2 linked regions of the Macaca mulatta genome follow. The protein of the gene in region 1 purifies or fractionates together with the protein of each later gene. This does not show direct contact. Links are inferred from orthologs where the notes say so. Each region holds a gene or a part of one and is shown on either strand. Other genes may lie near its edges.

Region 1 (5,570 bases):
TCTAGGCTTCCACTCTTCCATTGGACCTGTTCACAAATTATTATCCATAAAGAGAGTTTCTTCTTAACTAAAAATCATATACAAAATCTTTAGTCTGACGTTTAAGAATCTCCATAATCTGTATCCATCTATCTTTACCAGTCTGGTCCTTAAACATACCCTTACCAAATATACTCTGCTTTTCCTATCTCTATACCTTTGCTTGGGCAGTGTCCTTATGTGGAAGTTTTTTTTTTTCCCACCCTCCTTCAACTGCTAACAATCTTTCAAATGACGTTATCGTCAATGGAAAAAAAAAAAAAGCTAAGGCATATAATTTACTAAACATATACTCCATCTGATGCTTCACAAATTATCTGAATCTCCACAAAAACAAATAAGGAAGCAGTTAAGGAAACTGAGGAGGAGCTCACCGAAACTCACCAGCAAGTAAGAATCCAAAATAGCCCCATGGCATTCCATATTTTTAATGAAATAAGACATAAAAGAGACAGACGTTCCGTAGTCAGAATACCTGTGTTCAAATTCCAGCTACTCCACTACTCCACCAGCTACTTGTGTGAACTCACAAGTTATGTATCTGTGATGCCTTAATTCCCCCACTTCCCACTTATAAAATGGGGATAAGACAGGCATGATGTATCACACCTGTAATCCCAGCACTTTGGAAGGCTGAAGCAGGTGGATCACTTGAACCCTGGAGTTTCAGACCAGACTGAGCAACATAACAAGACCTTGTCTCTACAAAAAAACAATTTTTTTTTAATTAGCCAGGCATGGCAGTATATGACTGTAGTCCCAGCTATTTGTTGGGCTAAGATAGGAGGATCCCTTGAGCACACAAAGTCAAGCGTGCAGTGAGCCATAATCGCTCCAGCCTGGGCAACAGAGCAAGACCCTGTCCCCCAAAAATAAAAATAAAAAGGAAACAATTTACCATCTACTACATCAATGACTGTAAGAACCACCTGAGATATTACAAAGGGCTTAGAATTGTATTTGGCTCATAGTAACCAATCAATATTAGCTACATTACTGTTTTGTTGTTATTGATATACTACGTTATATAAACTTTGACAACACCAATCATATGCTGTGTTGTCCCCAAATCAACTTTTGTGTAATGTAAAAGATTCATAAAAGTTTAATATTTTACTTTTATATATGCTCAATAAATATCTATAGAATACATACATTTTTGAACAATGACTCACCAGTATGCTTTATTAAAAGGAATTTGCTTGTAATTTTGTTTCCTCTTTTGGGAAAAGTAACAATGCTTACCAACTTTCTTCCCCTTTTTATGTCATGTGAAACTATCATACGCAATGCCATATGGTAAACATGACAAACAGTGCAAAACACTATTTTGACTGAAACTCATTTGCCTTCTGCTAAACATCATTAATTCCCAGATTTAAAAATATTGTTATTTAAATGCCAACCATTTTTAGGTCACACCTATACGAAGTAAGCAAAACATACCATGATAGTTGACCAAACTATTTCATTTCATACATCTCCTATGGGAAGAACTATAAGGCATAAAATGCCTTTCTCCAACTTAACTCAAAGACATAAATCTATCCCTTTAGTCATACCCTCAGTCCTACCCTCACTTAGCTAAAGTTAGTGCCTGTAAAAGTTCTGAATAATCTACGATATTCTGGAATGCAGAAAAATATCAAGGGAAGAAAGCTGAATGCTAACAACAATTTATGCCCCTCCAAAATTATTGAGAAAATTAGCTTTATACAAGGAGAGATGAGAACTTATCCCAAACCCTTCAGTATTATAACTCTCAAACCAAGATTTTGTCTAAGATTTGCATTACACATAGAGACAAGATGACAAGCTGCCTAGCTTCAAACAAAGGCAGAGGTTAAAAAAAAAAAAAACCTAATAAAACAGTTCTCATTCCCTACATAGAGAAAAATAACCGTCCTTCTCTTCAATAGTTTCCAACAAAACAACAAAAAAACTTACGTAATAGACAAATTTTGTTTCATTTAATCCTCACAACTCATTTGTTATTTACGGAAAAGGTCACAGAATTAGTAAGTGGCAGAACTGAACCCAGCTTGACTCTCAAATTTGGAATCCAGTATTTTTGAAACATTTGTTTTTGCAATAATCCATAATATACTCTACATTTCCAACTTCCTCTTGACACATGCATATTGTTAAAAACTGAAACAAAAGCTTCTTGCCATAATATTTACTTTTATTCCATACAATGTCCTCTGGTATTTTTTTCTTTCTTTTTAATGCTTTCGTCAATGTACTAAATTGATTCTAAAATCTATTAATGAATTCTTATGGGCCCTGCACTACAGCACTGCACTACACTTCTTACCTCCTGTTTAAAGTTCTTTTTCATTGCTACCACTGTCCAGTTTTGTTACTTCGATATGGAGCTAATCTCCACCCATTTAAAAAATTGTCCTTAAATAGAATAAACTCTTGAAAGTCCTACCTTAAATCTTGAATTGATTTGTTTCTCCACAAGAACTCTTTGGAGGCACAGCTACCTTACTTATTTATATTGTAACAAAAACTGCAGATGTTCTCCTTGGAGAACAACACATCATTGTTGAAAGGAATGCATCAGTTTTCACTGTTCCTGCTGCATCACTGACTAACAGTAATAGCCGGGCAGGTTTGGGGCAACAAGAGAGGACCCGAGCAGCTGCCCACGGTGCTGAAACTGATGATGAAACGACAGTTTTGGAAATTTACTATTTACTATTGTCAGATTAGGACAAAATAGAGGAATTTACCAGACACCGGCAGAGAAAACTGAGTGGCTGCCACCAAAGTTGCATGAGTGCTTCCGGGATACTACTGTTTGGCTTCTATGTCTGCCCACTCTCTCTTTCTCTCTGGGACAAAGTTCTTTAATAAGTGCAAGTCAAGTTAAGCGTACAGGCACAGCTGCTGACTGACCGTAGTATCTGGCCCTAGCAGGGGTCACGTCCCAAATCTGCAATCTGAGCTTCCAGGGAAAGAAAAAGGGGGTGGGGGTAAAAGAGAGGAAGTGATTGCCCTCCTTCTATTCGAAGACAAAACAGCCCCCTCAACTAAAGTCAAGCGATTTCCCCGAGGACGTTGCGGCAGGTGCTTGACCAAGAAAAGCCTTCCAAACATGTTTTCCAGGCAGGCTCTTGCAGCCTCAAGAAGGGAATGAGAGAAGCAAAACCGGTAACTCAACTTTGGACACACACAAACTCGCAGAATCAGAGTGCAGAGGAGACTCGGTCCCCCGAGGGCAAGGCTATTTTATTCCTTTTGCAAAAAGCCTAATTTACTTCTCGCCCAGTTCTAGAGGAGCAGCAAAAGACCTCAGCAGCAGGGCCGACTCCGGGCTCGAGGGCCAACAAGCGGGGTATGTTCTCTGGGCCTCTCGATAACCCGCTGCCCGGCTGCCGCGAAGCCGGACAAGGTCTTACCTTGAAGTCCAGCCCCCGCAACACAAACAGTCTCGCCGGCCGGCCGCGTCGCTGCGGGAGAAGTCCCTACCCTGACTTCATGACTGAATATCCGCACCGACCCCCACAGCCCGGAGTAGGAGCAGGGACGACAACACCGAGGCGAAGCGGAAGTCCCGCCCCACATGCCTCATTGGTCCGCACCCAAAGGCACAGAAAACCCATTGGGCCACATGGTTGCCTGTTAAGGCTCCTTCCCACTCTCACAAGGAGTCTCGCTACTTGCTCCAGCCCGGCTCGGAGAAATGCCCAGTTTGCGAGTCTCGTTCTTGGCCGCGTGATCGGTCTTCCCTGGAAGGGAAGGGCAGGGTGGGGCAGGCGTCTGCGGAACTGTAGCGCGGCTGAAGAAGCTGCTCTTGGCAGAGGAAGGGGCAGGCTGGCAGAGTGGATTGGCTGTGGGCGTCTGCCGCTAACCATGTGCCCCTAGAAACGGAGACCGTAGGGTCTGGACGACGCGGGACCGAGCGGGCAGGGCCTGTCGGTCTGATCCGCTCCGGCTGTTGGGACACAGTAGCCCAAGATCCGGCTGCCCGGCTGCTCCCGGGCGGGCCTGGCCCTGGCGCTGACGCTGACACGTCTCTTCCCTGCACACTACACTCACCCGACCTACTAAAGAGGCGAGGGCGAGGCCTCATCCGCCCTCCTCCCGCACCGTGCCCAGTCTGAGATCAGGGTGGGTGGGACCGTGACCACACCTTAGAGTAAGGCTCAAATTGTTAGAGATGCGAGCATCTGAACGCCAGTCCCCCGAGGCCTGGCTCGGATCCGCGCTGACATCAGCACTCTGGGCCTGACACGCGCCATCCCCGGGGCTTAGCAAAAGTCAAACCACGTGATTTTTAAAACCGTTGCCTCCTTTTGATGAACCAAAAATCTCGTCCCCTGCCGCCCTTCTGATAAACCTTTTCTGGTTGTCCCAATCTTAAACCAGTCGAAAATTACCGGATTGTACTATCCACACTGATTAATCATTGCCAACTCGCCACCTTACAAAAGCAGTGTGACTTAGTGCAAAGATTACCAAGTCCTGAACTAAAATGTCAGGAGACATAGAATCAGCCACTACTTCTGCTTCAAATAATAAGGCACCTTTAATAAGGCCTTTACAGGCTTCAACTCCTTCAACATCATGTTTTAAAAATGGTGGCGAGAAGGCTGTCACACAGAATATTAATAGAATACCATTGGATGTAACTTGTAACTTTGATTGCTTGGAGAGCCCTGAGTAGGTGGCACACAGCAACGGGGGAAAGACACTTTCGTTATTGTGTATCCTTTTGTGCCTTTTGAATTTTGAACCTTGTAAATATTACCTACTCAAATAAAATTCAAATACAAGAAATTTAAAATCAAATTTTAAAAAATTAAATAAAAGCCATCAAAGGTACTTTCCTCTTCTGTATATCCTATGAGTATTCTATATAGTCTTAACTTTTCATTGGTTGTGAAGACATTCAATACTTAAATCACAATTCTGCCTTTAAGAAAGTCATAAATAAAACTCAGCATTGGGAATATTACTAAGAAGACTAGTGTAATTAATATAAACACATTTATAATATCTCTATAAGCATTTTTTCATTAAATTACCTCAAATTGGTATATTACATCAGATTTCTTGCATAACATCAAAAAAATTTTTTTAGGCCAGGTGCAGTGGCTCACGCCTGTAATCCCAGCACTTTGGGAGGCCAAGTCAGGCAGATCACTTGAGGTCAGGAGTTCAAGACCAGACTGGCCAACATGGTGAAACCTCATCTCTACTAAAAATACAAAATTAGCTGGGCTTGGTGGTGCACACCTGTAATCCCAGCTACTTGGCAGGCTGAGGCAGGAGAATCACTTGAACTCGGGAGGCAGAGGTTGCAATGAGCTGAAATCCCACCACTGCACTCCAGCATAGGCAACAGAGCAAGATTCCGTCTCCAAAAAAAAAAAAAAAATATATATATATATATATATATATTTAAGTCCACAGAGAGGAGCTTTGGGTTTCGTTATTGTTGTTTTATTTTTATTTATTTTAGAGACAAGGTCTCTCTCTGTTGCCCATGCTGGAGTGCAGTGGTGAGATCGTTTCTC
Region 2 (4,774 bases), on another chromosome or scaffold:
AAGGCCCCAGCCCCCAGCCCAGCCCTTGGGGCTCTAGCCAGGTCTATCCGAGGCCATCACACTTCTCAGAGAGCTGCAGCGAGACCCCGACACTGAGGAGGCACTGAGGTGCAGCCTGGGGACCAAGGGAACGTGAGGAGGAAGCAACAAGAACCAGTGGATCCGGGCAGCCACCAGCTGCCACCGTGCTCCCACAATCCCCAGGAGAGGCCGTGAGTGGGGCAGGGCTCACCCGGGGGCAGCTGGAAAGGCACGGGGACACCATCATGGACGGAGGAGCCCTGCGGCCGGGCCATCCTGGCATTGAGTGAGTCCAGCACGCTGAGCTCCATGCCCTTGAGGATGCTGCTGCTCCGGTTCTCCAGCACGATGGCCACAGTAACCTGACTGTCCTCCTGCAGACTGCCCCGGATGTCACAGGTCTGCAGGGCATGGCCAATGTAAGCAGGGCAGGCACAGCTGCCTGTCTCTCAGTGACCACAGAGGCAGCACGGGTCCCACGGGCACAGGAAGGCACGGGGAGAGGCGACCCCCAGCTGCAGCCAGGCGCCTCCTGTGGTTGCTCTTTGAGTGCATGGCGGGGGCCCTCCTGCCAGCTCAGGGCATGTCTCTAACCTTACCCAAGCCAGAGGCGCTGCCCAAGCAATGCCCTGCCAGGGATCACAGGCCCTGGGTACACCAACATCTGGGAGCTGTGGGGGCTGCCCCGGTTCTGTGCAATCCCATGCCAAAGAGCAAGGGCTGGCCCACCCTGCCCCGGGGAGCAGCTCACCATTTTAACATAGGAATTTTCAGCGAGGAGGGAGTAGCTGGACTCAGGCTGGAAAGAGAAAAGGCCCATCAGCCTCGGGGGCCTCGAGCTCCGTCCTAACGAAGACTCCAGTGCAGCCCAATACCCTAGGTCAAATGCCACGACTCCAAGAACGCTTGGGGTGAGGGGCTTCAAAGGGGCCTGCGAGGGATGCCTGTCTCCCACACAGCCCACTGCGGGGGTGCCGAATGTGGGGCTGCAGGCCAGGGCCAGGTCCCTGCTCCCGCCAGGCTCAGCTTCTTCAAGAATCTGCTGTTCTCTCCCGCATGGAGGCCGCAGGAGTGGGGAGCAGCCCGCAGCCCGCCAGGAACCCTGGCACGGGGCGGGGGCGCTGAAGTACCCCTCACCGGGAGCGGCTCCTCCTCTGCTGCGCCGTTCTGCACCGGCTCCCCCGCCGCCTCCGCCTCCTCGCTGCCCAGGGGCTGCTTCTTGGACTTCTTCTTGCCTTTGGTGCGCTCCTCCTTCTCCTTCTTGTGCTTCTTCTTCTTATGCTTGGGAGATTTCTGGAGCAGGAGGAGGGTCAGGTTCAGTTCCCAAGCTGCTCCAGCGCGCCCCCCTCACAATGCGAGGTCGGGGCCACAGGCTGGGCTGCTCAGGCTGAGGGGCCCACGTGTCTGGGTGGGATGGCAGGACCAGCCACGCCTCAGGCCTACCGGGATGAGCTCAGGCCAGACCCAGCCCAGCAGAGGCTGGGGCCATCCCTGGCTGGCGGCAGGCGGCAAGCGCCAAAGCAGCTCAGGGAACAGTCCCTGCCGACCAGGGAGCCATGGATGGTCAACCGGTGAGGACGCCACGCTTGATGCAGCAACTCCACACCCACGCACACACCCGAGAGGGCACACACACGTCCATGCACACTGCACAAATGTTCGAAGCAGCACACTGTGTGGCCACAAAGTGGAAGCGGCCCAAGTGGCTATCAACAGACGAGTGGGCCGGCACAGCGTGGCCCGTCCGTGGAGGAACGGGGTCAGCAGAGGGCGGCCTGTCCACGCACCAGAACACGACCCAGCCATGAACAGGAACCAGGCTCTGACCCAAGCCATAGTGTGGATGCACCTTGAGGACATCACACTCAGTGACACGCCACACACAAAAGACCACACAGTGTATGACCCCATTTCTGTGAAATGTCCAGGACACACTGATCCACAGAGACAGGAAGGATGCGTGGGTGCCAGGGCTGGGAAGGGAATGGGGAGTAACGGCTGGTGGGAATGGAGTTTCTTTAGAGGTGATGGAAAGTTCCGGAACTAGGCCGGGCGCGGTGGCTCAAGCCTGTAATCCCAGCACTTTGGGAGGCCGAGACGGGCGGATCACGAGGTCAGGAGATCGACACCATCCTGGCTAACACGGCGAAACCCCGTCTCTACTAAAAAAATAATACAAAAAACCAGCCGGGCGAGGTGGCGGCGCCTGTAGTCCCAGCTACTCGGGAGGCTGAGGCAGGAGAATGGCGTGAACCTGGGAGGCGGAGCTTGCAGTGAGCTGAGATCCCGCCACTGCACTCCAGCCTGGGCGACAGAGCGAGACTCCGTCTCAAAAAAAAAAAAAAAGGAAAGTTCCGGAACTAGACAGAGGTGATGATGGTTGCACAACGCTGTATATATACGGAAAACCACCGTATACATATTTTAAATGAATAAACTCTATTAGACTTATGAACCATGTGTGAATATGGAGATTATTAAAAAAACAAAAGACGGCCGGGCGCGGTGGCTCAAGCCTGTAATCCCAGCACTTTGGGAGGCCGAGACGGGCGGATCACGAGGTCAGGAGATCGAGACCATCCTGGCTAACACGGTGAAACCCCGTCTCTACTAAAAGATACAAAAAATTAGCCGGGCGAGGTGGCGGGCGCCTGTAGTCCCAGCTACTCTGGAGGCTGAGGCAGGAGAATGGCGTGAACCCGGGAGGCGGAGCCTGCAGTGAGCCGAGATCGCACCACTGCACTCCAGCCTGGGCTACAGAGCAAGACTCCGTCTCAAAAAAAAAAAAAAAATAAATAAATAAATAAATAAATAAAAATAAAAATAAAAATAAAAATAAAAATAAAAAAAATTAAAAAACAAAAGACCACGACCACAACAAAAGGCCCGTGAGAAGTCCGATGCAAAGGCGAGAGCAGGGCTGCCCTGGGATCTGGGTGGCGGAAGCTGTCCGGCCCCACATTGGGATGCTGGGGCGCATGCAGCCCTCCACAGCCACTGGGGAGTGACAGCCTCACCTTGTCCTGGTCTTGCCCCTCAGCGTTGTCCTCCTCGTCCTGCGCCTCCGTCTTGGCGTCTTCACACTCGTGCTTCGGGGTAGTGACAGCGTTCACACTGAGCTCCTCCTGCAGGGAGCCAGGGCTCAGGGCTCATGCTGGGCAATGAGGGGCCCCACTCCACTTCACTCCAGGCAGCCTCCATGCCGCACACCCTCAGCTCACCCTCACCCCTGCCTGAGAGGCCACAGTGCCCTCTGAGTGACAGGGAGCCTGTGGGCGCAGAGGCCCTGGCCATCCTCCCCTTCCCCTGGCCCCTGCTTGGCCCACTGGTACGTGGGAGCACGACCCCGGCCCCACTCAGTGCTGCGAGAGTGACTGCGAGAGCACGGGGCCTCAGGAGACCCCAGGGCTCTTCCCTGAGTGCCAGGTATGACCTCTGGAGACACGAAGGCCGGCAGTGGCCAGCTGCCGGTCTCTTACCGTGGATGGAGCAGGGGCGGGGGCGGGGGCAGGTGGTGGGGTGGTGGACAGCCAGAAGTCCAGGTCCTCAGCCTGAAACCACAAGACAGGCTGTCAGCAAACGCAGTGCATGGTCCTAGGAAGAGGCGCCGGGGACAGCAGGGGACAGCAGGGACCAGCTGCCCTTGCTGCCCCCAGGGCCCTGGACCAGCTGGGCCTTGCAGAGCCTGGGAATCCAGGAGCTGATGGTGATGTCCTCAGCCAGCCCTGCTGGCTCTGGCTTTCGCTGCCAGAAGAGGGCCAGGGACATATCTGTGGGTGGGCATGCACCATTCCAGTGGTCAGAAGGCCCCTGGCGGCCCGTATGTCTGCCTGGGCCCCTGACGTGGGTGTGCACGGCCCCAGGCCTGCGAACACGCGCTCCTCTGAACCCATTTCTTCCTCTCTGTGAACATGTGCACACAGACGCTGCAGAGACAGCTGCACACCAGGGGCATCTGGACCACACTGAGCTCTGACCACGGCTCCCCAACACAGGTGAGGACACGGCTCACCTGTCGGATTGTCGGCTCCTCCTCAGTCTCCCCTGAGGCAAGCGCACAGCCAACTCCCCTCGGAAGCCACGCGTCCTCCCTCCGCCAGGGCACAGGGCGAGGCGGCTGGCGCTCGCTGCCTCAGACTCACAGCCATTTCCCCTGAGCTCACTGCTGTCCCCAGGCTGTCTGGGAGTTCAGGGCAAGAGAGGGGAATGGAGAAGGATGCTACCCTGGGCACTAGCTTTACCTTCTTCTCCTTCTGCTTCTTCTTCTCCTTGTCTCTCTCTTTCTCTTTGTGCTTTTTCTCTTTCTTCTTGGGTTTCTTGCTCTTCTTTTCTACCACGGGAACGTCCTTCTCGGGGGATTTTGAGGTCTCGGCGTTTCTGTGTTTCTGAATAGGCAGCTTCTCGCTGTCGGCTAAGGGCCTGGAAAGGGGAATGACCGGGTCGCACATCAGCACCACTGGCCACCCCCCAGGACCACCAGTACATGCTGTGTCCAAGCATGTGGCAGCGCGGGACCTGCTCCTCCAGCCCCTGGCCCCAGCCATGGTCCGACGTGGATCTGCCCAACACGGCCTGCTGCAGGCTCTCACGGGAGAGTCTGTCGAGGCATGGGGACCTTCTGAGCACCCCAGGCCTGGAGACTTCAGAGCCCACGCTTAGGGTCTTGGTTGGGAGGGCCAACCAAAAGCAGTGCAGTGAGGACATGGTCTGGGGAACGCCCGCCTGCACCCCGTCCCAGCCTGTCCACCCTGCA

Evidence for each region. Proteins that work in one complex are often made in the same cells at the same time.
Region 2: the proteins of RNF13 (region 1) and AP3D1 purify together in Homo sapiens (affinity purification with mass spectrometry; 3 studies listed by BioGRID and IntAct, counting the BioPlex papers as one, with this or other methods). This does not show direct contact. The link is inferred for Macaca mulatta from reciprocal best matches to the Homo sapiens genes RNF13 and AP3D1.

Annotation. Positions count from the first base shown.
Region 1 is NC_133407.1:52,821,407-52,826,976, reverse strand, and holds the start of RNF13 (E3 ubiquitin-protein ligase RNF13), read right to left. Parts: upstream 3,604-5,570; 5' UTR 3,450-3,603; intron 1-3,449. UniProt on the Homo sapiens protein: E3 ubiquitin-protein ligase that regulates cell proliferation. Involved in apoptosis regulation. Mediates ER stress-induced activation of JNK signaling pathway and apoptosis by promoting ERN1 activation and splicing of XBP1 mRNA.
Region 2 is NC_133424.1:2,843,647-2,848,420, forward strand, and holds part of AP3D1 (AP-3 complex subunit delta-1), read right to left. Parts: intron 4,441-4,774; coding exon 4,263-4,440; intron 3,573-4,262; coding exon 3,501-3,572; intron 3,147-3,500; coding exon 3,039-3,146; intron 1,315-3,038; coding exon 1,159-1,314; exon of another isoform or gene 1,131-1,158; intron 855-1,130; exon of another isoform or gene 821-854; coding exon 773-820; intron 460-772; exon of another isoform or gene 423-459; coding exon 233-422; intron 1-232. UniProt on the Homo sapiens protein: Part of the AP-3 complex, an adaptor-related complex which is not clathrin-associated. The complex is associated with the Golgi region as well as more peripheral structures.